Linked DNA regions of Oryctolagus cuniculus. Each later gene encodes a partner of the first gene's protein in a complex. Links are inferred from orthologs where the notes say so. Each region holds a gene or a part of one and is shown in the gene's direction. Other genes may lie near its edges.

Region 1 (8,045 bases):
CATTGCCTCCACTCCCTAGTCAGTATTATGGAAGACCCTGAAGACAACAATAAGGAGGACACTCATCTGCCCCAAGACCCCCCTGCCTCCCCTGAAGAGGTCATCCCATGGTAAATACAGTAAGGCGTGAAAACCTGGGGTCTTTGTGGGATCTGTGATCGGTCCATGGTGCTGGAGATGGCTTTATTAAACCTTGGGGAGGCTACTGGAGGGCAATAAGGTTGGTGGAGTATAGTGGGAGGTGGAGAGCAGTGAACAGAGCCAAGCTGAGAATCCAGCAGAAGCCCTGAGGCAGTATTCACAATTTGGTAAGATGCTAAACTCTGGAGCTAGGCAACCCGGATTCAAATCTGACTCCGCTGTGACCAGCTTCATCACCTTGGGTATCTCATCCAATCTCTTTGTGAAAATGAACTACTCAAATGTAAAAGTAATATATGAGGGTACTTCCAACAGTTCATATGGGAATGTAAAGATAAATTGACTTGGGGTATGGAAATTTAGAAATCTATGCATAGTTTGTTCATAATATGCATTTCCACGAACTTTTTGAAGTACCCTTCTATTTTAAGAATCAGAAACAGAGGCCGCTCTTGTGGCACAGTGGATAAAGCCACTGCTTACAATGCTGGCATCCCATATGGCTGCCAGTTCGAGTCCTGGCAGCTCCACTTCCGATCCATGTGCCTGGGAAAGCAGCTGAGAATGGCCCAAGTGCTTGGGCCCCAAACCCACATGGGAAACCTGGGTGGAGTTCCAGGCTTCTGGTTTCAGCCTGGACCAGCACTGGCTGTTGTAGCCACTTGGAGAGTAAACCAGGTCTCAAACCGGTGCCTATGTGGGATGCCAGCCCTGCAGGCGGTGGCTTTACCTGCTATGCCACCGCTGGCCCCTCTCTTTTCTTTCCAATAAATAAACAAATTAAAAAAAATTCCTAAGCCTCCAATTCCCTGCCATCCATGATCCAGTCCCTACATATCAATCTTGCTTCGTTTCCTGCCATCTACCAGAACACCTGTTCAGTTTTCAGCACCCCTCCCACTACCAGAAGTAGTTCTGGGCACAATTAATCTCCTTTCTGCCTCCTCAACCACTGTATGTGTGCATTCTTAATCATACGTGTAACCCCTGGCATTTCCAGTATCCCATATGGTTACCTTGGGGGCAAGGTACTGCAACAGAACAGGTACTCAATGGTTACTGAATGAACAACACAATAAATGGTTAATTTTGCAAAACTTGAATACAGGGGCTGGTGCTGTGGTGTAAAGGGTTAAGATACCTCCTACCATGCCAGCATCCCACATGGGTGCTAAGTCCCAGCTGCTCCACTGGGGATCCAGCTCCCTGCTAATGCAGTTGAGAAGCAATGAAAGATGGCCCAAGTTCTTGGGCCCCTGCACCCATGTGGGCAACCCATATGAAGCTCCTGGCTGTGGCCTGGCTGGACCCCAGCCATTGCAGCCATTTGGGAAGTGAACCAGCATATGGAGGATTCTCTATGTCTCTCTCCCTCTTTCTAACTCTTGCCTTTCAAATAAATAAATAAATCTTTTAAAAAAAACTTGAATATAATCTTTCTTAACTGTATGGCAAGCAAACACTTTTCAATGTTTGTTACTCCTGATTTTGTATTCAGGATTAAGGAAAGACAGAAAAAATGTCTTTCCTCCCCTTATATTTTCACTACACAGTTTTGTATCAGGACCAGAGTAGGCTGACATGATCTCATTGGTACCTGTTAGGAGTGATTAGAGACCAGGTGTGAATCAGCTGTAAAGGTAAGACTCTCAGGCACCTGTGGCCCTGACCTGAGTAAAACCTGTATTGTGCACACTGCCTCATATGGCTGCCTCAAGAAATGGGTATCATTTCAGCCATGGACAGTTTGCCCTGCAGGCAATACAGCAGTGGAGAAAACGGGCAGGCTCTACCTTAACCAAGTGTATTAGTCAGCTTTTCATAACTATAAGTATATACCCAAGACAGCTTAACTTTATAAAGAAAAGAGATTTACTTTGGCTTATAACTCTGGAGGGTCACAGTCTATGATCATGCAGGCCCTGTTGGTTCAGCCCCTAGTGATGGCCTTCTTGCTGGCTGAGTCCCAAGGTAGCACAGGGCATCGCATGGCAAGAGAGAAAGGAAGTAAACTACTCTGTGTCTCTATTCTCATAAAGCCATCAGGATTTAGTCATGGAGGCTCCATCTCAAATGACCTCATGCAGTGTAATCGTTTCCCAAAAGCCTCACCTGGAAAAACCATAATGGTACTGTTTCCACCCACTCAGAACCATTAGCATAAGTCTTTCAGGACTTGGAGCTGGCATCATGGCCTTGTTAAGTCACTGCCTGCAGCATCAGCATCCCATATGGGTGCCTGTTCCAGTCCCAGCTGCTCTACCTGCAGTCTAGCTCCCTGCTAATGCTCCTGAGAAAGCAGCCAAGGATAGTCTGAGTGCTTATGCCCCTGCCACCAACATGGGAGGCCCAGATGGAGTTCCAGCCTCCTGGCTTCAGCCTGGCCCAACCCCAGCCATTGAGACCATCTGGGGAGTCAATCAGCAGATGGAAGAGCTCTCTCTGATTCTCCCTGTCTCACTGTAAAAAAAAAAATTTAAAAAATAAATAAATCCTTTTAAAAACAAATAAATACATCATTAAAAAAATCCTTTCAGGACTAAACTCCTGAGTGAAGAGAGATAAATATTCAAACTATAGCACCATGTGATCCATGCTCACTTCATTTGTAATAAGACATATCAACATCACAAATCCCCTAGTATGATATAGTTAGAAGGGCACATCATTTCTGCATCATTTTTTGCCAAACATTCATAACCTCAGTCCAACAATGAGAAATCATCAGACAAACCTATCTGAGGAAGGTTCTACAAAAAAATGAACTGTACTTTGCAAGAGTTAGAAGTCAAGAAAGACTGAGAAGCTGCCACAAGACTGAAGAAGAGAAAGGAGGCATTGCAATTATATTGCAATATGTGATCTTAGGTTTAATTCTGAATTCTGGAACAGAAAATTGTCTACAGCTAATAGTATTGCATCATTCTGATTTTGATAATTATACTATTGTTATATAAAAAGCTTAAGAGTATCTGGATAAAAGATATAAAAGAACACTACTTGGGGCTGGCACTGTGGTGCAGTGGGTTAACGCCCTGGCCTGAAGTGCCGGCATCCCATATGAGCACCGGTTCGAGACCTGGCTGCTCCACTTCCTGTGTAGCTCTCTGGTATGGCCCGGGAAAGCAGTAGAAGATGGCCCAAGTCCTTGGGTCCCTGCACCCACGTGGGAGACTGGGAAGAGGCTCCTGGCTCCTGGCTTCGGATCGGCACAGCTCTGGCCATTGTGGCCATCTGGGGAGTGAACAATTGGATGGAAGACCTCTCTCTCTCTCTCTCTCTCTCTCTCTCTCTGCCTCTCCTCTCTCTGTGTAACTCTGACTTTCAAATAAATAAATCTTTTTTTAAAAAAAAAGAACAGTATTACTTCGCGACATGTAAGTCTAAAAGTATTGCTGAATAAAGATTTTTTAAAAATTTATTGCTCTGTTTTGAAAGTTACTGTAGCTGTTCCTTTGGGAGTTCAGGGCCCATCCCAAGATGCCCAGGGTTTCTAAACTGGAAACATAGCCATGAGATTGTTAGAATAATGGAATACCTGTTTTCAAGACCATTCTCTAAAACAAGAAGAAACGAACTCCTGGGAAGAAGGAATCTACCTTCTACCGCTACCGCCTCTTGGCGGAACTACAGTTCCCGGTATACTTGGCGCAGGCGCATTCCTGTGAAATTCAGACGCGCTACAATAACTTCCTACGGCTAGTTGTTTGGTTTCGTCGGCCGACGCCGCAATGCTTTTTGGGAAATGTAGTTCTTGCGCTTGTCTGACTGCCGCTAGCGAATTGAACCCAAACTAAACTTCCCAGCAAGCAGCGCACCAGCCTGGGAACTGGGGCAAGATGGCAGACGCCGAAGATGGTGTTTTGCAGCCGACTGCACCTTCTACTGCCCCAATTTCATTCGCCTTTACTCGTACGTCCTCTCGGAGGCGGCTGGTGGCCCTAAGTGATGGCGCAGAGTCCGCCCCAGAGGAGAAGGATTTCTTGAAGACCGTGGAAGGGAGGCAGCTACAAAGGTGAAGCGCCGGGTCTTTCGCCCCTTGTAAATCGGTGCCGTGGGTGCGAGCGGGAGGACTCGAGTAGTTTGCTTTGATGACAGTGGCCTGGAAAGCCTGAACCACGGCCTCAGGAAATCCGTGGAGGAGAGAAGGCAGGAGCTTGTGGGAGAAGTAGGGAAGTTGCTTTTCATGGCCGTGTGGACTGAGAAGATGTATAAGGATACTTCAGAAAGTTCGTGGGAAATGCGCATTATTTCAGTATTCATTTCCATGGACTTTTTGAAATGCCCTCACATTCATGACAGGGAATACCTTTATGATGCTGGGACACTCTGGTGTGTGCGTTCAGATAAGTGGGAAAGAGGGAATAATTACAGGACCCTGTTGTCTCAGCTAAAGTGAATGGGGGCGACTCTAATACGGGGAACGAGATGGAGCTGCAGATTCAGGTTGAGGGAGGCCGCATCAGCATCTTTAGGAAAGAAGAGGCTGAAGTGCCTGAGGGAGGGACTCGCAGAAGAGAAGCAACCGCCTAGGAGGCTGTTCTGGAGCTGGGAAGAGTCTGGCTGCAAATGGTCATCTGTAGTTCTTGGGATGAACAGACGGCCTGGCAATGATTCCTGGAAGATACTGTCATTTAAGGGCTGGAGGGACAATGACGTGCAATCAGAGGCATGGTCCATGGAGCTAGGAGGGGGCTTGGCTCTTGTGTTTCTCTGCATAGGGGGGGTGTAGCTGGAACCCACGGACCCTGCTTCTCTCCTCACCTTACCTTTCTTTGTCCACATCAGTGTGAAGCCCTCAGAGGTCCCCAAGGAACCTGTCATTCCCTTGATTCAGAATGGCTATCACAGGCAGCCCCTGGTCCAGCCCTCTGGGCTATCCACAGACACCAAGACCTTGATGGATGAGGTGCTGTCCCAGGCTGTGAAGGAACTGATTGAGGGTAAGTGGGCCCCCTCTCCCCACCCTGCTCCAGTGAAGAAAGACAAGGAAGAAGGTGGAAGATACATGGGGTGGGACCTCATTGCTCCCTCCCATTCTTCCTTAGAAACCGAGAAGTCCCTGGAAGAAAGAAAGAATGCAAATGCCGACTCCATGCTCACTATCCCCATGATCCAGAAAGGATACACCTCCAACAAGGAAGGGGTAGACAGCGAACACTCAGCTGAAACTGTGAGTTGGCCCCTTACCCCCTTGCTCCCTTGGTTTCTCCTTGCCCTGTCTGCCATGCATGCCTTCTTACACACAGCAAAGAAAGTCTGTGTGTACACTGGAGGCCTACTGCCTAGCTCTTCCTCCTTCCAGCCTTTTTGGGAACATTAACACATGAATCCAGATATTGGAATATGAAGTTGGATCCTAGGATTGTCTGAATGGGGTGAGAGGCAGAGGGAAGAGGAAATATAATAGCCATGAGGGTGGACACTGCCTGGAGTGTTTGACAAACACCAAGGAGACCAACGCGGCTGGACTGGAATTAGTAAGAGAAGTCAGGTGGCAGTGGAGGGGGTGCGGCGAGACCAGGCAGGGCTTTGTGGGTCATGATGAGAACTTTGGCTTTTACCCTGAATGAAATGATAGCCATGGGTGGGCCCTAGGCAGAGAAAGGATGCGACTTATGATTCAACAGAATCTACTGTGAACACAACAGACTAGTAAGTGAAGGTAGAAGCAGGGAGCCCAGCAGTCTAGACCAGAGATGGTAAGGACTCAGATCCAAGTGGCGTGAGAGAAGGCGAGGTAGGGTTTAGCGAGAGAGGCAAGAGCAGGGTGAGTATTCCTAATGGTAGCAGCTGCCCGAGCAGGCCATGGCAGGAAGGCTGTGTGGTGTGTCTGTTAGTGAGACAACTTGTGTGTCTGGAATGAGTGAATGAAAGGATTGAAGGAGTAACGACGGGAAGCGACCACAGGAAAGGGTAGCGGCAGGGCCATGGAAGTAAGCAAGTCTGTCCATATCTTGGACTCGACTTCTCACCTGTTCATTCATAAGTATTTTGCACTGCTTCCTCAGGGCCTACTTCTCCTATGGCCACAGAGCATCGACCATCCTGGCTTTAACTGGGGTGATTAGAAGTGAACTCATCCACCTTCATTTGTGCTCTGGTGTCTTTCATTAAAAAACAAACAAAGACCCTCCATTTACTCTTCATCCTGTTCCAGCTCTGGCCTTGTTTCTCATTTTCCCTCTGACAAGCCCCCTCCAGCAGCCTTCCACCTGTCAATTGATCACACTTCCATAGTCCTTCCTCTCCCTCAGCTCCAAACCTTGCCGTCATCTTTGCCCCTCCCTCTCTCTGTCATACCCCCACGTATGATCTGTCAACGCCGTCTTTGCCTTTTTTCTAAATGCATCCAGAATTTCACTTCTCATCACCACCAGCACCGCACATCTGGACGACTGCAGTGACTTTCTCGCTGGCCCCTCATGTGACCTCCACCTGCCTGCAGGTTGTCTGCCTCCTGCACCCAGCTCTCCTGATTGACCCCTTACCCATGCTCCTCTGCCCCCATGTCCCTGTTCCAGTCATGTTGATTTTCATAATACTCTTCACACACACCGAGTTTTGTTTGGCCTCAGAGCCTTTGCTCTTACTGTCCTCTCTGCTCACAACACTCTTTCCTTCTCATCTCCTCATGGCTCCCCCTGTCATCTCCTGGTCTCTGTGTCAGTGTCAACTCTAGCAATCCCTCTGCATCCTCATGTCCCACGTGGGAGTGCCTGAGTTCCAAACCCAGCTCTGTCTCCTGATTCCAGAGCTTTCTGCTCAGGTGCACCCCGGAAGGCTGTGGTGATGGCCCAAGTAGTTGGGTAGTTGGGTTCTTGCCTATCAAGTGGGTTGATTTCCTGGCTCCTGGCTTCAGCCCAGCCTAGTTGCAGCTGGGAGCTCTCATACTCTTTCTCTCTCTCTCTCTCTCTCTCTCTCTGTGTGTGTGTGCATGTGCACGCGCGCGTCTGCCTCTCAGATGCACATACTCACACGCATAGAAAGCCAGTGTTTGCAAAATCTGACGCTCCTTCCTCTTCCTGAACCCATTAGGTACCAAAAGAAGCTGATTATGAGGCAGTCTCTGTGGAGGCCTATGGACTGGCCATGCTGCGGGGTATGGGCTGGAAACCTGGTGATGGCATTGGACGCACTTTCAGTCAGTGAGTTTTGGGCTAAGGGTGACGGGGTGGACGGATGGAGCTGTGAACAAGCGCCCCCCCCCGCCCCCTGCCGCCACCACCCCATGGTGACTGCCAACCCAGAACCCTTCAGGCAGGGAGAGAGGATACATTATTCCCCTAATTCAGTAGCCTCTTCCACTCCTGTTTCCAATTCCTCATTTGAAAAGTGGGGGTAACAGGATGGACTTCACAGGCCTCTCGTGAGAGTTTGATGAGATGATACCCATAAAGCACATTGAATAGGCCCCCACCCCAAGTAAGCACAGGCTAAGTATCTGCTTTTATCACACGGACTTACAATCCCTTCTCCACAATTGGAAACTCCAATGAATTTCGAAAAGCAGACAATTTTTCACAAACCATGTGGCAGCCGAACATGATCTGCATTGGCATTGAGCGTTCTTATAGCCTGTTTCTCCTGTCTGGCCTGACCGGGCATATGATTTCTGCTGTGGAAATAGAAGGTTACAAGGAAATGCTTGGTTATGAGGGCCTGCCTCAGATGCCACCGTAGATACTGTATAATATGTAGTGTATGCAGCATGGTGTTAAGTTGAAACAAATGAAGTTCCATTTCTGTAGGTCCAAAACAATCCGAAGTGAGAGATTGGAAAGGGCATTCTTGAACATTCGATGGGGTAGGATTTAGCAGGGGAGAGAGGAAGCCACTGAAGGTGCTTGTATCCCGTCCCCAGTAAATCCATATTCCTTCACGCAGAATAGTGAAGCCCCGTG
Region 2 (6,925 bases), about 74 Mb from region 1:
TTTTTTTTTTTTTTTTTTTTTGACAGGCAGAGTGGACAGTGAGAGAGAGAGACAGAGAGAAAGGTCTTCCTTTGCCGTTGGTTCACCCTCCAATGGCCGCCGCGGGCAGCGCACTGCGGCCGGTGCACTGCGCTGATCCGAAGGCAGGAGCCAGGTACTTATCCTGGTCTCCCATGGGGTGCAGGGCCCAAGTACTTGGGCCATCCTCCACTGCCTTCCCTGGCCACAGCAGAGAGCTGGCCTGGAAGAGGGGCAACCGGGACAGAATCCGGTGCCCCGACTGGGACTAGAACCCGGTGTGCCGGCGCCGCAAGGCAGAGGATTAGCCTAGTGAGCCGCGGTGCCGGCCAGTTCATGAATTCTTGAAAAGAAATTGTCATCTTCTTATAGGTTTCAAAAATAGCTATATATGTACTAGCCTGATTTTTCATATTTAATATAATTATTGGTATGTTAATTATGTTTATTGTTATTATACAATTGTCTATTTTCTCATCTTATTTCTGTTAACTTTGTTATGAACCTACTGATGTGTTAGAATCTCTTACAGTTTTATTAGTTTCTTTTTGTATTTCTACTGGCTTTTCAAAAATTTGGATTTCTTAATTGATGCATAAAACTTAATGACTTATACCTTTGTTATATATTAGAACCCTTTTCAAGGTAAAAGAGTTTTCATGCTCTCATAGTCCCATTTAGTGTTTTTAATTTGGCCTTGTATTTGTCTTCAATCTTAGTATTTCCACTCCTTTTTTAAATTGGTCTTTTTTTATTTTCAACCTTTCTATCTTACCTTGTTCTAGATGTGTTTCCTGCCTGGAGTACATTGTTGAATTTTGTTTTATTATGAACAGTCTGAATATTTTTGCATTTTGAGTCAATGATGTCTTACTCTTTTCTCACATAAATAGATATGGGGAGGTTGTTAACATTAATCTCGTGCGGGACAAGAAGACTGGAAAATCCAAAGGTTTCTGCTTCCTCTGCTATGAAGACCAGAGGAGCACGATTCTGGCTGTTGACAATTTTAATGGGATCAAGGTGAGCATGCCTAGTGAACAGAATTTGGCTGGACTCTGTGTGTCTATCCGTACAGGTGCAGGGGCAGTACTGGGCAGCTGGGTGTGTGGCAAGGACTACAGAGGTGTGGAGGCATTCTTCAGAAAGTGATTCAGGAGATGATGCTGTTGGCCCATGGCCCTGTCAAGACCTGTTCCTTTCCCCCGTATGTGAGCAAGCCTTCTCCCCAGGAACATGCCTGCCGCCCATCCCATCCTGCATTTTTCACCTTTCCCTCTTCACCCTCTGCCCTCATCTCTGGTGCACTGGAGAGCAAAGAGACTAGCAAATGTGTTTTTCCATGTGTGCTATGTTGGTGGAGTTGGGCCTCATAGGACACAGCCATGTCTGTCTGTCATGTGTCTCCAGTGCCCTAGCACACTGGGCCCTGGAAATTCTCTGGTGAAAATCTGATGACCAGTTCTACAAAAAACTCATTCTGGGATTTCTCCCTTCTCTCTTTCCTCTCATCTCCCCCATTGTGAGTGAGGCCTGGAGCTGAGAGAAGAGGATGGGACAAGTTAGGTTTATCTGTGCTCCACATGATCCCCACACTCATTTAGCAAAGACCCTTCAGTTGGAGTGAGCATTGTTCAGGCTCAGATGTGACTCCTGCCTTTGAGAATTTGTCACTGGTTGTGCCAGTACGGAGTGGCTGGAGATTATAGAACAGAGTGGAGCAGTGTGCCAGGCTTAATTTTTAAGGGAGCCAGCAGCCAGAGGGAGTTACCATAAAAGGGAGGCTTCTAAAAATGTTTCAGAATGGAGAATAGGATAGTTGATGAAGGTATTCAAGCCCAAAGAACAGAATAAAAATCTGTTCTTGAATTGGAACAATAAAAGTTAAGCTTTTCAAATTTCAAATTAATTCGTCTATGTAATAAGTCTGTATCTGTCAGAAAATAGAATTTTTTTAAAAAAAGATTTACTTATATTTATTTGAGAGGCAGAGTGACATTGAGAGAGAAACACAAGTGTTTCCATCCTCTGATTCACTCCCCAAATGCCCACAACAGCCAGGTCTGGGTCAGGCCACAGCCAAGAGCCCAAATTCCTGGGCCATCATCTGCTGCCTTTCCAGGCTCATTAGCAGGAAGCTGGATCAGGAGCAGAGCAGCTGAGACTCAAACAGGCACTCCAATATGGGATATAGGCATGCCCGGTGGTGGCCTAACCCATTGCACTGCAACTCCTGTCCCAGAATGAATTTTAAGTGAGGAGCAATTTTGTGATTCCCCTGTGGGAGTTGTGATTCACAGCACAGGAATCGATGTAGGCTGATTGTTCTGGTATGGTGAGGGTAGAACAAGGCATGAGAGCTTAAGAAGAAGAAATTGGTCTTTTCTCCATTTCTCTCACCTTTCTACTTGTTGGTCCACTTTTACCTCCTCCTAACGACTGTGCTGAGCTTAAGCTAGACTTCAGGAATTCCTTCTAGCTGCCAGGCTTTTCCAGGACAGCTAATGATACGGTATTACAGAGTGGGGCAGTTGGTTGCTGTCCCTCTGAATTCTCATGGTCCTCTGTGATGCTTGTGCTCCTGGGCAGTGCTTCTCGGCCTTTGTTCACATGAAAGTATTTGTATCTCGCCCTGGGGTACGCCGATGAGAACGCTAGTACAACTGTCCCGGGCCCAGCTGGCTGCCGCTGCCCTAAAGGCTGAATGGGTTACCATCTAGGCACACCTGCAGTGATTCAGACTGGTTGAGTGGGTCTGCTGTGGCGGTTTGCGCCGTAATAGAATTAGAGAGAGGGTAATAGATGGCGTTCAAACAGCTGGACAGTTTGAAATGAAGCCTGCCTTTTTGAGACGCTGCCTGTTTTTCTTAGATCAAAGGAAGAACTATCCGGGTAGATCATGTGGCTAATTATCGGGTTCCTAAAGTCTCAGAAGACATGGACGATGTGACCAGAGAGCTCCAGGCGATGGGCTGTGGTGTTAATACCCCCTCACCGAGTTCATCTGAGGATTCTGAAGAAGAGAAACCCATAAAAAAGCACAAAAAAGGTAAAACATTCAAACCCAAGAGAAACTTGGCAGTCTTAGCATCTGTTCCTCCTAGAGTTCATTGATGGTTGATAATCGGGTCATAAGTATGCGAAGGAGAGGTGGGGGGACCTTATTTTAATTGGGGAAGGGGAGGTGTCAGCAGAAGACTCCTGTTCTGGGTTGAATTGTGTTCCCCAGAATCGACACGTTGAACTCCTCACCCCTAGTCCACTGTGACTGCATCTGGACATGTGGTTTTCAGAGAGAGACTGGAGTGGGAATGGCCGTGCCCAGCAACTTGACGTTGCGGGTGACAGACATCGAAGTTGCTTCCCCGCAGCACTTTCCCAGAAGCACAGGGTGACGGCTTCACGCTGCTGCCCAGCCTATTTTCCTTGCCCATGGGCTCCCCTCCCGGCAGGCAGGCATTGGTAAACTGGTCTACCTTTGCTGGATGTCACGTACACGGAGAGGAAAGACATGGCTTTAGGGAGTTCTATTTCCCTTTTGTTACCGATTGTCGCCCTTCTTCTCCAGACAAAATGGAAAAAAAGAAAAGACGGAAAGAGAAAGAGAAAGAGAAGAGTGACCGGACAGTACTGGTCGAGCAACCATCTCCCTCTTCCTTGCCCAGAAGCAAGACAATAAAGGAAAAGGATGAGCCTGGCCCTAAGACAAGCAGCACCAAGGGCTCCGAGAAGGTGCCGAAGTCGGAGTCCAGGGAAGCACGGAAGCACTACCCTGTCTCCCCTGAGGTCAGAACTGTCCCCCGCGGTGGAGTTGAGGACCTGGCCAGGGAGCTGAAGAAGGAGAAATCCAAGCATGAGCACAGGTCCTCCGACAGGAGAGAGGCCAGAGAAGAAAGGAACAGGGATAGGGACAAAGGACGAAGCTCAGACGCGTGTTCTAGCTGGCACAATGGGCATTCGGATGGGTGGAGCCATCGGAGTAGAAGTCGGAGCCGAGATCGATCTCACAGACAGAAGAAGTCCCGTAGCTCCCGGGAGCGGGAGTCCTCAAATCTCAGTGAGCGTAGGCGTCACTGAAGCCAGTTCAGCCGCTCGGTAGATCTGGAAATGAAATGTGTTTCTAAAATGCAGTCAGATTCAGCTACGCCATTACTTCTCCATATGAAATCTCTAGAGCTGATTTTTAAAAAATCCCTTGAGTAGTGGAGTCCTTGAGAAGGCTGTGGTTTCATTGGCAGATACCCTGCATTTTCTAGTACAATCCATCATCCCTGGAAATATACTTGGAACTTAACAGAGAACGTGTCCTGAATTTTCGTTCATAAATTGGCCATGGGGCCCATAGCCCCCCCAGCTTGAGATGAAATTGCCAGAAAAGGAAAATTACAGACAATTCTAGAGGCCTAGTCTTTGTCTTCAATGTTGAGAACCCAGCATTCTAAGACTTCCAGTTAGCAGGTAGAACTGCAGTGAAGTGTGGTTTAACTAGGTTCAGACAGCTGGAGGTGAATGTGATGGGATTCTTTTTTTTTTAAGTATTAATTTTATTTATTTGAAAGGCAGTGTTACAGAGGAAGGGAGGGAGAGACACAGAGATCTTCCATCTGCTGGTTTACTCCCCAAATGGCCACAACAGCCAGGGCTGGGCCAGGCTGAAGCCAGGAGCCAGGGACTCCATCCAGGTCTCCCACATGGGTTTGGGGACCCAAGTACTCAGGCTATCTTTCACTGCTTTGCTGGGCGCATTTAGCAGAGAACTGGATCGGAAGTGAAGCAGCTGCAGCTCAAAACTGTTGCTCATCTGAGATGCCAGCATCACAGGAGCCAGCTTACCACTGCACTACAACGCCAGTGCCTGATGGGATTCTTAAGAACAACCAGCTCCCTCTCTAAACCCTGTTTGAAAACAGCTTTAAATGTCTTGTCTTTTTCTTTTTTTGGTTGAGATATTTTTCCACATACTTTTTTCCCTTGGAATTCTTTGTATTGATGTGAAATGCAGATAACATAAAGTTAACCAATTCAAAGCAATTCAGTGGCACTTATATTCACCATGTTGTGCAAACACCACCTGTGTCTAGTTTTGAAGCATTCACATTGTCCCCAAATAAAACCTAATACCTATTAAGCAATAACGTGCCATTACCCCTATCCTCCCTGTCCCTGGAAGCCACCCATCTGCTTTCTGTGTCTATGGATTTGCCTGTTTGGGATGCTCCACAGAGCAGGAATCACACAGCAGTGGCGTTTTGTGTCTGGCTTCCTTCACTAAGCATAATGTTTTCTAGGTTCATCCATGTTATAGCATGTATCAGTACTGCACTCTGTTTTAAGGCTCAATAATATCCTGTTGAGAGACCACGCTTTGTTTCTCCATTCCTTGGGACGGACGTTAGGATTGTTTCTACCTTTGGTTAGTCAGCTTCCTGTTTTGTGTGCAGACACGCCAGGCGACCTTCTGTGCTTGGTTTGCTTTTCACGTAGCCGCTCTTGCTCAGGTGGGAACACTGGTAGCTCCATCGCACACCTTTGGTCTGATTGGTAGTTCCTTCTCATTTTGAATCTTAGTTTCTATTATAGCACTCAGCCCCTTATGAATTTGGCAGGAACTGGTTCACAGGCCCTGCTGCAGTCTTTTTTTTTTTTTTTAGTTAAAAAAATTTTTAAACCTTTATTTAGCAAATATAAATTTCCAAAGTACAGCTTATGGATTAGAGTGGCTTTTTTCCCCCTATACTTCCCTCCAACCTGCAACCCTCCCATCTCCCGCTCCCTCTCCCCTTCCATTCACATCAAGATTCATTTTTCAATCTTTATATACAGAAGATTGATTTAGTATATATTAAGTAAAGATTTCAACAGTTTGCACCCACACAGAAACACAAAGTGTAAGTGTACTACTGTTTGAGTATTAGTTATCCTGCTGCAGTCTTAATGTTGAATTTCTTTTTTTTAAGTTCTCATTTTTAAAAAAGATTTTATTTGAAATGCAGTCACACACAGAGAGAAGGAGATACAGAGAAGGGTATCCGCCATCTGCTGGCCACAACAGCCAGGGTTGGGCCAGGCCAAAGCTCAGAGCTTCATCTGGGTCTCCCATGGGGGTTTAGAGTCCCAAGCAATTGGGCCATCTGCTGCTTTCCCAGGCACATTAGCAGGGAGCTGGATCAGGAGTAACCAGGACTCAAACCAGCACCCTTATGAGGTGCTGGTGCTATAGGTGGCAGCTTAAGCTGCTATGCCACAAGGCTGGCCCCTTAACGTTGAATTTCTGACCCTGCCAATGGGAGGGCCAGTGCTTTAACAGTGAGCACGCTTTCTTAATGTTACCCTGAGTGGTAGTTTGGGTCCTTGATTACAGGTACAGGGCTTTTTTTTTCCCCAGGGATAGAACACCTGAAAAGGAAAATGGAGCAGGAGATGGAGGAGTCTGGGAAAGCTGTCAGACTGTGGTGCATGTCTGACCTCTGGAGAAGCAAGGAAGGAAAGAAGGTGAGTAAAGAAAGTCTTACAGGGCAGGTCTCAGAAGTTCTAGCAAAACTGATGTTGAGTCCTCGAGCCAGAGCCACTTGTCAGAGGAGGCCTGTTTAGTCAGTTTGGTAATCAGGAGTCTGCTGTGGGCCTCTGCTTCAGCCATTGTGGCTACTTTGCTCAAGTCCCAGTTCCTGGTAGCCAGTTGTGAAGGCTCATGCAATTGACTAGGTCATTTTGTGTGGTTTTTCTGTATATGGCAAGGAGCTGGATCATACAGTTGTGGGCACTGGTTAGGCAAGTATGACATTCACAAAACAGGAGCTGACACTGCAGTCCACAGGCAGAATTTTTTCAGGGAAACCATAGCTTGCTCTTAAGGCCTTCAACTGATTGGATGAGGCCCACCCAGGTCATCAAGGATGATCTTTCATTT
Region 3 (7,440 bases), on another chromosome or scaffold:
AGAATATATTCTAAATCATGCACAATAGATCTCGCGGCACAAAATGCACACCACAATTGAAAAATCACAACAGGAAAAGCAACATAAAAAGTGTTAGAAAAAGATACATTAGGAATAGGTCAGTGATTTCTTAACTACCAACAAATCTTAGAAGAACAATGAGGTAATGTCATAGTTAAGATAGAAAGAACTGTGTGTTCAAGTGAAAACTAAAATTTGTGTTCATTATTAACTGCTGGTACCTGTATCATGTTCTTTGAATGAATGAACATCAAAAGCTCTTAGAATTTAGAAGTTTTTGAAAACTTCATATTTCTGTTAATGGGGTAGAATGTCTGGAGTTTCCTTTCTTCTCTGAGTTACTGTGTGAGTCTTCAGAAAAATACTTTATGAATTGTTTGCTTTAATTTCCAGATGATAATGGCCTTAGGAAATAGGAAATGATTATGAAAAAATTTAGATGTCAAGTTAGCCTATTTATATTTACCAAAGTAAAATGACTCATAGTTTTAGAGCCTCTGTCTAGTAGGAAGCATTCCTTTATTCTAGTATTTGGTGTAACAGAATAGCTTTTTTTACAATTCCTTTCTGATTAATTTTTTGCTTTTTTATTTTCATATACTACAATTATTTTGTTAAATTTTTATGTTAGGTAATTTAAAATACAGTATATAGAGTAATGATTCATTGAATTCAGATCTCTTTGAGAATTAACTTATTAAGGAAAAATAACTTCATTTATGACAAGCAGTGATTACATTCATGGCTACATTATACATAATGCAAAATCAGGTCTGGATGGAAATTCTGTGTACTCAATCTTAGCCAAAAGGCCTAGAACCATTGGATATTCTGTAAACAAAGTGGCTTATGTATGTGTTAAGTAACCCTATCATGCAAGATAACCATCTTAGAAAGGCTTGCTCCTGCCCTTTCGGAAACTAGCAGATTGGACCAATGCCAGTTCAGAGAAGATTCAGCTTAGGGCTTCAGTGAAGTCACAGTGAAATCATTTAACATAATCAGAATAAATTCCTTTAATTAAAAAATGAGAAGAAAGCAATTGTTTTACGACATTTATAATGAGATGATGACTATTACCTGAAGACTCTGCAATGACTCAACATTGTTTTCTTGAAGAAAAAAAAGATTTTAAAAGCTTGGATGGTTTTGAGGGATAATAATAGGGAAGTGAATCTTAGAAATCTACTCCCAAATGAATACCCTTCCCCTGCATGTTAGTAGACAGCTTTCCACAAAATATGCTGATCTGTGGCTGAGTATGTCTAGAATATACTTATAGGTTAGTGATTTCTAGTTTAAGTGCATTAAAAGTATAAATATTAGACTTGATTACACTTAAAAGTCAGTTAAATTAAACTTATCATTTTTGTTAGTATTTTGAGATTTTGTTAGTATTTTGAGATCTTACTGGTCAGGTAAATAATCAATTGAATTTGAAATATCTTATAACTGAGAACATTCTCTAAATATTTTTTGTACCTCAGGATGAATTTCACTCTCGGTTGCGTTTTAATAGGAGAGGACTGGTTGCCATGGCAAATGCTGGTCCTCATGATAATGGCAGTCAATTTTTCTTTACTTTGGGTCGAGCAGATGAACTTAATAATAAACACACCATCTTTGGAAAGGTTAGTGTCTACTTATCTTAAATTTACAGTTTGGTCTTTGGTTTTATGTTATTCGTTAATCTGTGATATATATATATATATGATTAACTTATCTAAGAGCTTCCTTTATAAAAGTATTTCTGGAATATTTAGTTTATATATTATATATATATGTGTGTGTATATATAGATAGATAGATAGATATAGATTTTATTTTTTTAATTTGAGAGACAGAGTTACAGACAGATAAAGGGAAAGACAGAGAGAAAGGTCTTCCATCCGCTGGTTCACTTTCCCAATGGTTGCAACAGTCTGCTCTAAGCCGATCCAAAGCCAGAAGCCAGGAGTTTTTTCTGGGTCCTCAATGTGGGTGCAGGGGTCCAATCACTTGGACCATCTTCCACTGCTTTCCCAGGCCATAATAGCAGAGAGCTGCATCAGAAGAAGAGCAGCTGGACACAGCTGCTTTCTTTAAAGCTATGGTCTTTCTTTAAAGCTATGGTAATGGTATTAGTTACTATGCCATTCAGCCAATATTGTTCTTACAGTTTTAGAAAGACCCTTAGGTAATTCCATTGAGCACTTTAAAGTTTATCTTGCTAAGGATGAATTCCCTCACCTTTAAAGTGGAAGTTGTGCTGACACTGACATACAGGAGATGCAAGTGCCTATTTAATCCCATTTGCATTCATTGTCATAGCAGGGAGTGCTGTTTCTATAGAATTTTCAACAGTTCTCTTTAATGATGGATTTTTTTCCTCATTCATCTCTCTTCTCAAATGTATTCCTATATGAGTATATTTGAAGTCTTAGTTTTAGGCATATGAGACATCACTAGTGTATCAGCCCCCTCTGCTGGTCCAGTAAAAATTGTTTCTCCCGGATCCTTGGTAAAACTGGATTTTGTGATGATGAAAGGGAAAAAAACAACTTGGTACAATTGGAAAATCTGTTGTATTTATAAAATTTTGGAAATGCTGAATGAAAATAACATTAAAATCATGAAAAATCAATGTAATTGCTCCATACTTAACAACATGGGTTAGGGTATCTGTACAGGCACGTTCTTTTGAACCACTCCTAAGCAGGTTGTATGTTATTCATAGATTTCCTCTTTTCCTCCATTATTTTTAAAATATAAGAGTGTATAAAAAGTGGGATTTAAGTAGCCATTTTCTACCATTTTTTACAATTGATGTAACCGACACACTAGAGACAACATATAGCATATTAGAAGCTGGAAAAGCAATCACTGTTGGCTTTAACACTTCTTTGAGATTCAATTTCTTCATTTGCATAAGGAGATAATGATAGTTCCTAGTTGAAGGATATTTATGAGTTTTAAATGAGGAAATATCTACAAAGCACTTACGTTATTATTGATATTATTTGTTTTTTTTCTGTGCTAGATTCTAAATTTGTTTTTGATGTTTGAATGAAAAGTTATTATTCAGTTAGAAGTTGTTTGGCATTGTATTTTTATTTTAGTAAAAACTGACGCTAACTATATTTTGGACATTTCCCAAAAAACTTATTGCGGGGTAGAACTCCATCTATTGCTTTTCCCTTGAGATGAAGCTGCTTTATTTGTATTACTTAAAACATATGCTGTTAGGTAATACTATGAAATTCCCTATTAATTATTTTAAAAATCTTTTCAAATATTCCTTTTAATTGAAAAATTGAATACAATAATTTGAAATTACATTTTATACTTTTATTTGATAGGTTACAGGGGATACAGTGTATAACATGTTGCGACTGACAGAAGTAGATATTGATGATGATGAAAGACCACGGAACCCACACAAAATAAAAAGTTCTGAGGTAGGGAATATAATTATTATGAGATATAGCACTTAACTTGTTATTTAAGAGGGATTGGTTATTAGTATTTTTAAACTATTAGATGAAGAGTTTTTACCAAATTAACCTCACAACTCAGATTTTATCTCTATTTATGCTCAAGTTCTGATGAAGAATATTTTAAATTAAAGGTTTAGAATTCAAAGATGAAACTTTAGCTGAAAATCCAGTGATTAAAAAGCTTAACTCTGAATAGAAACTTAGAGGAATTAGCCTGAAGAAATGACTTCATAGGTAATTGAAGAGTGACTGTTCATTGCGTCAGAAAGATTCTTATGAAGGTCAAAACACTTCACTTTGTTACTTTACGTATCATTTAAGTTTTCTTAAGTATTTTTTCCTTTTGTAAATGGAAATAAAATACAGTATCACTTACTTAATAGATAAAGGATTATTAGGAGAATCCAATGAGGCGACATAAGTGATGTATATATATATATATCACTATACTAATAACATTTATGTGGGAAGAAAACTACAGACACCGATGTCAGTGACAGTAAATATTGGTTTTCCTCTTTTGTGAAATTAAAACAATGAAATAATGTTTTTAAACTATTTCTTTTCATAGGTTTTGTTTAATCCATTTGATGACATCATTCCAAGGGAAATTAAAAAGCCAAAAAAAGAGAAACCAGAGGAGGAAGTAAAGAAACTGAAACCTAAAGGCACAAAGTAATCATAGTAGAAAGATTTTTCTTCAATTTGAAAAGCAACTCTATTTCACTTGGTTTATTTTATTTCTCTTTATAATAATTATTTTCTAGAAAGGGAAAGACTAGTTTGAATGAAGAAGATGTGGTTATTGTCAGGGTGTTATTTTTCCTAAAGATGAAATTATGCCATCTCATATGTCTATATGAAACCTATGTTAATAAATAAATATTTTATCCTCATTCAGTTATACAAATGAATTGAAAAACTCTAGTTTGGCTTTTTAAAAATTAATACATATAGTCACTCAGTATGAAGTATTTGGAAAGTAGAGAAAAGTATAAAGAATATTTTTAAAGACTGTTACTTCCATCCCTTATTTTTGGTGCTATTAAAATAATATTTTAATAAACATTTTAAAACATAAAATTTTCATTTAATATTCTAGATTATTTGCTTAAGGTAGTCTGCAAAACAATAAGAACTTTTAAAATGAATTTCAGTATTTTGTGATAAGAATCTTTACATTATTACTACTATCTATATTAGTAAAATAGTAAGAGTTGGAGTTCAGTTTTCTCTTTACTGAATTGTAGCATCCTTATTAGGGATTTTATTGTATTTATAAATGTTAGAGTCAGACAATTCTATATATAATCCTGACCAACACAGTTAATGAGAAGCAAAGTTTATTTTCCTGAAATTCATTGCCTTATCTTACAAAAGGAAGATTCTAATAAGTACAACACCTGATTGTCTTGAAGATTAACTCATAGGGGCTATGTGGAAACATCAAATAGTGTAGATATTCAATACATATTAGTTTATTTCCTGGATATTCTATCAGACATCAGCTAGATACTTTAATAAACAGTTGATGCTTCATGGCAAAATAACTTATTATTTAAGTAAAGCTTATGTATTTGATTTCCTTTTATTTCTTGATTCATTCATTTTGACTAATTTATCTGTGGATGAAAAGTCACTGTCACTATATTCTTATGTGGCATTCATCAGTTTGATTTATCTTGACAGTAAGCTCAAAGTTAGTTTTTTTGGTGTGTTTTCTTTTCATCCACAGAAAGTATATTAGGGATGTTTGGTAGCCATTGCTTGCATCTAGGTTTTGGGAAAAAATTTGTTTCCAAATCTTTAATTTTTCTAATATTCGAGAGCAAATTTTAATAATCTGTTGTTTATATTATATGAGATTTACCCTAGTTTGAAGGATCAGTGGAGACAATTTTTTTCTTACCACTGACTACTTTCATTTTAAAGTTTATTGCTGGTATTTTTTTTTGTCTGACAGTTTTGTGTACCTTATTAATTTTAAAATATTGACATATTTTGCCAAATTCTAGATTAATTGCTCTCCATTTTTAGTGTTCTCAGTTGTTTGCCAGAAATCTCCATTTTACTACCAATTTTGATAATTACACAAGTTTGATTATTTTTGTCATGCTTTAGGTATATTTAATGGTAATGCTCAGGATGGGTTTTTAGTCATTAGTTTATAATAATGCATGAAACGTCAGTGGTCTAAGGTAAAGGCTTAACATTATCCTGAAAATATAGGATACTCATGCATCATACTAAGTAATACTGTCTTTTTAAAACATTGTATTCTGTTTTGTTGCTTTGGAAAATAGGGTACTTACAAATTTCATTTAACTTTTCCTAATTTTATTTTATTTTATTTTTTTAAACTAGAAATTTTAGTTTACTTTCATTTGGAGAAGAAGCTGAGGAAGAAGAGGAAGAAGTAAATCGAGTCAGTCAGGTAATCGCGAATTAAACCTCTTTTCTGAGTTATCTCTCCTGCTGTACTGAACACCATGTTTCACATGGTACACATCCAGTAATGTTCATTGAGTTGATTTGTGTGATGGTTTGCAGTTAGTAATATTTGCAACTTCTGAGATATTTGCTCTCAAAATTATCTAGAATTTCTGTAAATAATTTATTAATTTTGTTAAATATAAAAATTATTTTTAAAATATGGCATTTTTCTGTTACTTAGAAATATAATTTTTTGAGTAGTTGAACTTACTCAGATCTTAATTGCTATTTGTTTAATTGATTTGCTAGATGATAATTATGATTATTTTTGTCATTATTATTAATATAGACTAAAACCCTTATATTCATCTAAATGTTATTTATATATATTTTGTTTCATTTCTTCTCATTATAACCTTTGAGATGGATGTTATTATTCTTATTCTACCTGTGAAAAAATTCAAATATAGATAAGTTACAATTTACTCAAAGTCACATAGCTAGTAAGCAGCTATAACTGGGAACTGAACTCAAATACATGGCCTCATAGACTTAGACCAAAAAGTGTGGTTTTCCCCTTTTCACTTTCATCACAATACTCAGTATAGAAACACAGTGTCATGTCATTGTTTAGAGCAGTGATTCTGGTATGTATCATCATCTAAGACGATCATCTTCAAGGATTTTTATTCCCAAGGTTCTAATATGTCTTTTTTTTCTTGAAATTTAGTGAACACTGAAACCCAGAGGATTAGATTCAGTCTTTGTTGTGATAATTAAAGCAATAACCATCCTTATCTTAGTTGTTTAATACAGTCATCTATTTCTCTTTTTTAAATTTTATTTAATATATACAAATTTCGTATATTTCGTATATGTAGATTTCAGAACATAGTGATATTTCCTACCCTACAATTCCTCCCGCCCAAACTCCCACCCATCCTCCTTCATCCCTTGCTTTATTCTTAATATTTACAATGATCTACTTTCATTTTAATTTATAGCCATAAGATTATCCCTACCCTAAAAAATTCAACAAAAAGTAAGAAGAAGAAAATACTGCGTCTCAACAGTAAAGACAAGGGCTTTAAACAATCATAGAATTTCCAAATGTCAATTTCACTCCTATACATTACATTTTTGATGCTCTATTAGTTACCACAGATCAGGGAAAACATATTGTGGGGAGCAATAGTAGCCAACCCGGGAAGAACCAGCAGCAAACCCGGGGAGGGCCGAGCAGACGAAAGAACAGCGCAGGGTCCTGTGTCGTTCCTCCACGAAGAGGGGGAGCGACATAATGGTGCCGTGACTCGGATAGGAAACTTAGGACGGATATGAAACTTAGGAGGGAAGAAACGGGAAGAACAGGGAAAATATCGGAGAGAGAAACTAGCAAACAGCCTAGGGAAAATATTGGAGAGAGAGACTAGCAAACAGCCTAGGGAAAAGCCGGACGAAAAGGGTGCCGGAAGAAGCTATTGAAAGCCTAGGCATAGACTCAGATACG
Region 4 (7,950 bases), on another chromosome or scaffold:
TTGCTCTGGACCTCTCTGTTGAGTTTTTGGATATTTTGTCAGATTCACCTGGTGGTCAAGGGTTGACTTTCCTACTCAATCATGTTCCCTGCCTTTTGCTTTCATAGGTGTTAATCTCCAGTAAACCACCTATATTCTTCTCTATCTCTGTCTGCTTCTGAAGAGACTCAACCAACATATTGGTAGCAGGAATGATACAGAAAAGCATCAGGTAACGTGAGATTTTGGAGATGGAGCCCTGAAGGGCAAAGATCCCACCTCAGGTGGTATAAGGAGCACAATTATGCCTGGCACAACATAGTTGACTAATTACTAACTATTTTCATAAGTAGAAAATAATTCTAGATGAGGGAGAGTTTAGTGACTTTGAGCAGTCTCTTGGCATATAGCCTTATGCTCTCGGAAAGGATCCAAAGGCACAGTATGTTTGCTCTGAGGGTGACACGACACATCTGGAGAAAGTGATAGCTCATGCTGAGCAAAACTGAAACGCTTAAGTTTTTATAGATGACCACAGTTACAGGGAATAAGCCCAGGAAAGTGGATATGTGGGAATGGGCAGAAGACCAGAAAAGCTACCAGAAAATTATTTTCCAGAGAGATTCCAGAGGACACATCACTTTCCAAGACCATCAGGAAAGTGTTGGTGAGCACAGCACTACCATCACCAACATGTCCAGTCTTGGCTCTTCACAAGTCAGGGCTGACTTTGGGAGAGGCTGTCACAGAACTGAATCCTTAGCAACAATGAGAATGCAGGGGCCCTGCAGCAAGAGAATATGAGGCAACACTTCATCCCCAAAGCTTGGGGTTCACAGTCATCCTAGTGGCTGGACTTCACAGAGCAGCAACCAAGAGGACATATGAAGATGGTGAATAGAATAGGGTGTCTCTTAAGACAGAAATATCTGTGCATCCAATGAAGTGGTTCCTTAATTACACATAATTAGAATGAAGAATGGATGAGGGGCCGGCGCTGTGGCGCAGTGGGTTAACGGTCTGGCCTGAAGCGCCGGCATCCCATATGGGTGCCAGTTCAATACCTGGCTGTTCCACTTCTGATCCAGCTCTCTGCTATGGCCTGGGAAAGCAGTAGAAGATGGTCCGAGTCCTTGGGCCCCTGCACCCACGTGGGAGACCTGGAAGAAGCTCCTGGCTCTTGGCTTTGGATCGACGCAGCTCCAGCCATTGCAGCCAATTGGGGAATGAACCATCAGATGGAAGACCTCTCTCTCGCTCTGTCTCTGCCTCTCCTCTCTCTGTGTAATTCTGATTTTCAAAAAAATAAATAAAAATATTAAAAAAAAGAATGGATGAGCTAAAGGTAGTCAACTCAACAAAAAACTCTGAATCTCTTACCTGTCCAGTTTTCAAGCCATTAATTGGGACTTAATTGGGTTTTGGAAAGAAACATCCTGCAATATCAAGTCAGGTATACACAGTCATGATTCCTCTGATCCTTCCCCAAAGAGAGTCACTTCCAATTATCTGAATTATGGCACACAAGGAAAGGGGAACTGGTAAACGCACAGCAGCAGCGAACAATGACACCTAAAGATAGGAAGCACCATTATGGCTCTCCTGCTGGAAGGAGGTGAATTGTAGTTTTGGAGTCAGGGCCAGCCATCTTTTTCACAATGGCTTCACTGGGCTCACAGGCAAAACTAGTAGCCAGTTACGCAGTCCCAAGTGTAAAATTGGGATTGACATACTTCAAAGGTGGTACATTTCCATATATTTCCTGTGACCTGTAAAGTAAAAGCTACCATAGTGGGTATATTAGTCAGCTTCTTGTTACTACAATTAACATACCTGAGAAGGGCTACTTGGAAGGAAGAAAACTGATTTTGGCTTACAGTGCTGGCAGCTCACAGTCCAAGATCAGGCAGTCCCATTGGTTTATGCATTTGATGAGGCTGGAGGCTGGTGTGGGACACACATATGGTGAAACGGGAAGCAGAGAACAGTTGAGTAGAAGGAGGCTTATATAATCAGCTCTCTCACAAGAACCACCTTCTGATGGCAAGCTCCCAATGATCTAAATACTTCCTAGTGAGCCCACCTTCCAGACACCATAATTGGATTAAGCCTCAACCCTTAATCCTTCAACCATTAACATTGACCTGTTAATGGTTAACATAAGACTTTGAGGATCAAGTCCTCAACCTACAGACCTTTGGGGAACACACAAACTATCATCCAAACTGTAACAGTGGATAAGGCTAAGCAAAAGTCTTTGAACTTTCTCTCTTGGCCAAGAGAGCAATCAAAATCAGTGTCATATGTGAATAGTAGAGTTTAATGATACCCAGAATAGAAAAAAAAATTTTTTAAATGATATCCAGAAAAATGTCAAGGTTTTATGATAATGCCAACATAGCTCCAATTAATTTTGACGGTCTGATCTAAAGAAATCAACTGAATTAGGATAATTATTATAGACTATAGCAACTTCAACCAAGTATTAGCCCAATTGCAGTTGTATATCAAGCATTGCATCATTGATAAAACAGAATATAGGTGGGTACTGCTTTTACTCCTTACAAATCAGGAAATGGACACAGAATGTGAAGTAACTTACTCGAAGTCAATGATTCATGAATAAATCCATCGTTTAAGCATAAGTAGCCCAGCTCCATTTTGTTTTTTAATGCCTTTAATCTCTGCAACTAGGAAAGAGTTAGAAGCACAAATAACCTAAAATTGTAATGAAGTATTTGCAGAAACCAGTCCTGGTTTAAAAAAGCAAGAGAACTCCCCAAACAGTTAACAATTACTTGGACTTCTGGGTTTTGTGATTGCAAAAACGAAAGTTCAAGGAAATTGTTTGATTGAAGCCCTACCTCTGAACTCTGTATAAGACAGTTTCTAACTCAGCTGCGGAATCTCTTTATCTCGACAGTGTCTTGTCACCTGGTATCTTAGCCCAAAGAGAGACATCATCGTCTTCACAGAATTAGCTTCTCTCAGTCTATTAATGGGCTAATATTCTCTTGGAACTTAGTAGGCACTTAATCATTTAGTAACATTTTGCTTAATATGCTCTTGGTCAAACCAAAATGTCTGAGAGGATTTCTGTTTTTTAATATTTTCACGGAAACGTGACCACAGAGGACTACTTTTCTGCCAACCGCAGAGAAACAGTTTTGGATTATAATTAATCTTATCAAACCCTAATTACTCTCAGGTATTCTGTGAGCAGCCTGGAGGCAGTCGCAGATGCTTATATCCAAGAACTACAATTCCCATCGTCCACTGGGGCTTTCTCGCGCTAAAACTACAATTGCGGTTAGTCATTTCCGTCTGACGAGAGGGAGGATGCTGGTCTTTGTAGTTCGGGTCTACTTGCTTTTCGTTGCCGTGTTGGTAAGGAGACAGTATGATTAGATGCACTGCTTTCAATCTGGCGTTGTGATGTGGTGTTTAAGATAACCTAATAGGCAAAGCGCGTCAAACCCAAATGAGCGTCCGGTTTTTACGTACTTCACGCTCCGCCTTCCTCCTCTTGCCGGTGCCCGGGAAGGGGAAGTGACGTGCATCCGGTGTAATGGCGCCGCGGTGGAGCTCTAGGTAATTATCGAACTCGGTCGAGTCGTCCCGGGGAGGCAACTGCAGTGGGGGGTCGCGGGTTGTTGGACCGGGAGGGATAGTGAGGAGGTCTGTGGGCGGGGGGAGTATGCCGCCGGGTCCGGCTGTGGGCGGCCCCGGGAGCGCGTTGCCGTCCTCCCGCCACGCGCGGGCCCGCGAGGTTGGGCTAAGCGAGCGGGTTGGGCCGAGTCGCCCCGTCAGGTGGAGAGTGGGCAGCCGTGAGCTGGCTCTCCGCCTGCGCGGACGGACCTCAGGCTCATGAGGTTCCTGCGCCGTACCTTGGCCGTGTCTCAGTTGCTGGGTGACTGCATCCGAGCTGGTTCTTCCTCCCGCCGTGTGCAGTGTTTTGGGCGCGGGTCACTTCGAACCTCTCGAGTTAGGGGGCTTGCCCAGGCCCCTACCTAGTGCCCGGGTCCCAGGGACTCGGGAATAGGATTAATGAACTATAGTTCATTTAAGAGATAGCTAACTGACTTTAAAGCCTCTCGGCGGAGTACTATCCCTGTGACTCTCTTTGTAAAATTTCACTAGTGGTTTCTTTTTCATGTATTTGCCCTGCCATTTACTGATACTTACAGATGTTTAGTCCTGGGAACCCCTCCTTTTCCATTGTCTTCATCTATCATCTTTCGTCCTGCCGTTAGTTGAACCACTTCCAATAAGATTGACAACTCCTTAACTTGGTCCTCCGGTTCGTCACTCTCTGCTGAGCTCTGGAGTCCTACAATACACTTCAATGTAATGGTGATATGATAGTTAATTTTGCTTGGACTAACTGAAATAGCGTCTTTACCTGTATTTACTTAATCCTCCGTGCTTTGAGGGGAGTGAGAATGAGAAATTTGGGAAAAGGCTATTCTGGGTGTAGGAGTTGGGTGATTTAAATGTGATGAGTTTCCTTTGTGTTATGCGATATCAACAGACTAGAAATAGCAGATAAACGAACAAAGTTGGTCTTAAAAAAGATCAGTTAGCCTCCCTCTTCCCTATCTGCATTTAGATTTATTTAGGAACACAGGAGTTAACATCAGTTATCCTGTGGAAGGGCAGACTTAGGATTAGCGTTAAAAGTGCGGTTTTGGAAGCGTTGCTGCAGGCAGTTGTCTATAGGAGGAGGAAATGACTTGTGTGGGTGCTGGGTGATGGACTGGCAAGCCAGAGATTGCAGTCTTGCTTCAGTGATTATTAGATTTATCACTTGGGGCAAGTGTACTAACATCTTTAGTCTCAGAGTCCTTGTCTAAAGGTAATAATAGTTGTAATAATAACTGCCTGGCTCACTGGTTGAGTCTGAAGGCATTGCATGTCCGGCAGTGTGCTCCCGGGCTGGCCTCCGGTGTTTTAACATTGTTAATATATGATAGAGTTAATGAGTTTTCTCTGTTCCTTAGTGCTTGTTCTTTGCTTCTGAATGTTGCCACTTTTAAGTGCTCGTGTCACTTTTGTGGAATCTTTCCTAACTCATTGGAGTTCTGAGATTCTTTTACTGGTACTTTAGAGGCCAAAAAGCTTTTTCTATTACCCTGGCTTAGTGGTTCCTAAAATGTGGTTTTCCAAGTCGGCAGCACCGGTATCTCCTTGGAACTTGTTAGTCATGTAATAATTGTTGAATCAAAAACTGGGGCATGGGACCCATCTGTATGTTTTTTACCAGACCATAAAAAAGCTAATGCCTTAGAGATATGCTGTGGTTCCCCAAATCAGGTTGCCTGCCCTCTTTGTTCCAAATTATTTGATTCGTGGCCAACCAGTTTCCCATCATTATTATTTCACCACATCCTTCCCTGCTTTGGGTAGTTTGGCTTACTCACTTTTGCAATTCTGATGCTTCCTAGACTACTTAACTACTTTTATAAAACACCTTTCTTTGTTAGTTTTCTCATTTGCTGAATTGTTAGAGATTATCTCATAATTTTGCATTGCCAAATGACCTACAGTGGTTTGTATTTGACATCACTTCAACAAAGGAGACAGTGGCACTTTATGTGTCTGTAGTACCCTTTATGTGCCTATACTATGCCTTAACTTGAACGGTAGTTGCTATTTATTGCCATCTTGTATGTAGACTGAATTTTGCTCTACCTGGTTTATCCCTAACTTAGTCATGACTATCCTAGAGCTATTCTAAGTAAGAAAAAAGGGGCTATTGGTAATATATATATATATGATTCCACCTATGTTTTGGAGGGCTTCCTTGTTGAATTTCCCTTTCTGTTAAAGTCTGACAGTTCTGCCATTGGAGGGTAATGGGACAATAAGGCCTGCTGGTTTCCTACTGCAAGCATTTCTCAAGTGAACATTGAAAAGAGACATTTCGAGGCTTTCAACAAAGTACACTCTCAAAGCATTTTCTTTAAAAAGAGAACTTCAGGAGAAGAAGCAGTACATTAAAGCAGACCTTTGCTACTGTAGCCAGGCTAGCAAGACTTCCCAGTGAGCAGACACCAGAAAGGGACTATGGGCTGCTTAGGCCTGGGGACACATCAAGAGCTCCTGTAATTGAAGAATAGCTGGCTAAAGAGAGAGTGGGACTGTGGGCAGCTCATGTTTAACCTACCTTTGAGCCTAACTCATAAATGGGTCATACTAGACAGCACTTCCACTGAAAACATCTGTGGTCCTTGCCTGAATGAGTCTGTCAGGACAGCTTTATTGCAACCATGGTGACAGGAGTGGCCGTGCTGGAATGGAGTGCAGTTTGTTCGCTACTTGATAAATTTGCTGTAGAGGCCACCACCTCCAAAGATTCTTTACACCAGAATGTGGTTGACTAAATGGCTCTCAGAATGATCAGAAAGGCCCCTCTTGGAGCTGTGCTGTCTGTTAAGAATGTATCCAGCCCATATATTCAGTGACCTGAAAAGGAACAGATTTTGGGGGAGGGGGACAGACAACAGTGGTATGATTGTATGGTGAAGACATATAGCACACTCCATAATTAGGCATGTTTTTATAAATTGAACTGTACCTTTAGGGTCAGTTTTTCTCTTGTAATTTCTGGGAAGGAACTCAATAATAGGGAAGTTTATACAAACTGCTTTCTGGGTTAACATGGAGCAAAAACAAATATGCAAAGGCACGTGACAGTGCTGTCTTGCTGCAGTTGGCAACAAACAGCTTGGTGGTCCCAAAAGAAATAGGAATTATAGGTGGAACAAGGCATTTCTTCATAAGGAAGTTGTCAAGTAGTGCGATGGAGAAGTCTGTGTAGGAAAAGCTAGGGATAATTATCCAGAGTCCACACTCTTCCCCTTTTGATTTTAGAGTTGTGATTTGTTAAGTGGTAATGCTGTCCTAGGTTCTGAATGTAAAGCAGTGACCCAGACCCCTAGGGATCCAATATATTCATGAAAGGTCTTTCATGCTTTAGCTTTATGGGTCTCTCATGTTCCCTTTCATTACTTTTCAGTTTTCCTTGTGCATGCTGTGCACTTCTCATACAAGCTAGAATTCTCTGTTGTCTTGTCTTTGAATATTTACACATGCTGAGCTCATTTCCAAAATGACCTTTTCCACCTTCCCATATGGTAATTTCTACTGGTCCTTTAACACTGAGTTTCAGTACCAACTTCTTTCTGTACATCGCAGATCCACTTAGTTGTACTTCATCTTTTCCTGTAGTACGGTGTTTATGATACAGCATTCAACAGCTTCATGGAAAATGTAATTACAAGATAAATTTAGAGGTGAGCACTTGGCCTGATGGTTAAGACATTGGTTAGGATGCCCAAGTTTCGAATCTGGACTGCCTGGGTTCAGTGCCTGGCTCTGGCTCCTGATTTCAGCTGCTTTCTAATGTGGACACTAGGAGACAACAGTAATGACAGAAGTTAGTTGGGTTCCTTCCATCTATGTAGGAGACCTTGACTGAACTCCTGGCTCCAGCCTCCAAACCATTACAGGCGTTTGGAGATGAACAAATGGATGAGACCAATAATGTTTTGCTGCAAAATATTTTGTGAAATCCATGCATAGTTGTTTTTTTTCCCGTAATATGCTTATTTTCTGTGAACTTTTTGGAAACCTTTCATAGCTACAGCACTTAACACTTTTCTTCCGTACCTGAGAATAGGAACTTTGACCTGCCAGTTCTGTTTACCTTGTGTGCTGTTTAATATATATCATCCTCCTGTACACTGGCCCATCTTTAGTGAAAAGAGCATGGTTGTACTTCTCTTTCTATTAGCATCACTCTTCCTCATTTTTTCTGTAAGTACTTTTCTGAGCCATTTAATGAAAATATGAACTGTGGCCCTAACCGTATCGTTTTTTGGTCTTTTCCTATAACAGACTTTTTCAGTTGTTATAACCTCTGAAAGAGAGACTCTTCTGCACAAATGCAGCTTGAGCAAATGAAGAAGG

Evidence for each region.
Region 2: GPKOW (region 1) and RBMX2 share a complex: the UniProt entries of both Homo sapiens proteins name them as parts of the minor spliceosome. The link is inferred for Oryctolagus cuniculus from reciprocal best matches to the Homo sapiens genes GPKOW and RBMX2.
Region 3: GPKOW (region 1) and CWC27 share a complex: the UniProt entries of both Homo sapiens proteins name them as parts of the minor spliceosome. The link is inferred for Oryctolagus cuniculus from reciprocal best matches to the Homo sapiens genes GPKOW and CWC27.
Region 4: GPKOW (region 1) and CWC22 share a complex: the UniProt entries of both Homo sapiens proteins name them as parts of the minor spliceosome. The link is inferred for Oryctolagus cuniculus from reciprocal best matches to the Homo sapiens genes GPKOW and CWC22.

Annotation. Positions count from the first base shown.
Region 1 is NC_091453.1:34,251,283-34,259,327, reverse strand, and holds the start of GPKOW (G-patch domain and KOW motifs-containing protein), read left to right. Parts: upstream 1-3,946; 5' UTR 3,947-3,980; coding exon 3,981-4,156; intron 4,157-4,929; coding exon 4,930-5,084; intron 5,085-5,189; coding exon 5,190-5,314; intron 5,315-7,179; coding exon 7,180-7,289; intron 7,290-8,028; coding exon 8,029-8,045. UniProt on the Homo sapiens protein: RNA-binding protein involved in pre-mRNA splicing. As a component of the minor spliceosome, involved in the splicing of U12-type introns in pre-mRNAs.
Region 2 is NC_091453.1:108,062,167-108,069,091, forward strand, and holds the end of RBMX2 (RNA-binding motif protein, X-linked 2), read left to right. Parts: intron 1-911; coding exon 912-1,041; intron 1,042-2,889; coding exon 2,890-3,067; intron 3,068-3,586; coding exon 3,587-4,095; 3' UTR 4,096-5,150; downstream 5,151-6,925. UniProt on the Homo sapiens protein: Involved in pre-mRNA splicing as component of the activated spliceosome. As a component of the minor spliceosome, involved in the splicing of U12-type introns in pre-mRNAs.
Region 3 is NC_091445.1:85,775,898-85,783,337, forward strand, and holds part of CWC27 (spliceosome-associated protein CWC27 homolog), read left to right. Parts: intron 1-1,508; coding exon 1,509-1,652; coding exon of another isoform or gene 1,653-1,656; intron 1,657-3,359; coding exon 3,360-3,458; intron 3,459-4,068; coding exon 4,069-4,172; intron 4,173-5,861; coding exon 5,862-5,931; intron 5,932-7,440. UniProt on the Homo sapiens protein: As part of the spliceosome, plays a role in pre-mRNA splicing. Probable inactive PPIase with no peptidyl-prolyl cis-trans isomerase activity. As a component of the minor spliceosome, involved in the splicing of U12-type introns in pre-mRNAs.
Region 4 is NC_091434.1:61,054,100-61,062,049, forward strand, and holds the start of CWC22 (pre-mRNA-splicing factor CWC22 homolog), read left to right. Parts: upstream 1-3,308; 5' UTR 3,309-3,570; exon of another isoform or gene 3,571-7,950. UniProt on the Homo sapiens protein: Required for pre-mRNA splicing as component of the spliceosome. As a component of the minor spliceosome, involved in the splicing of U12-type introns in pre-mRNAs. Promotes exon-junction complex (EJC) assembly.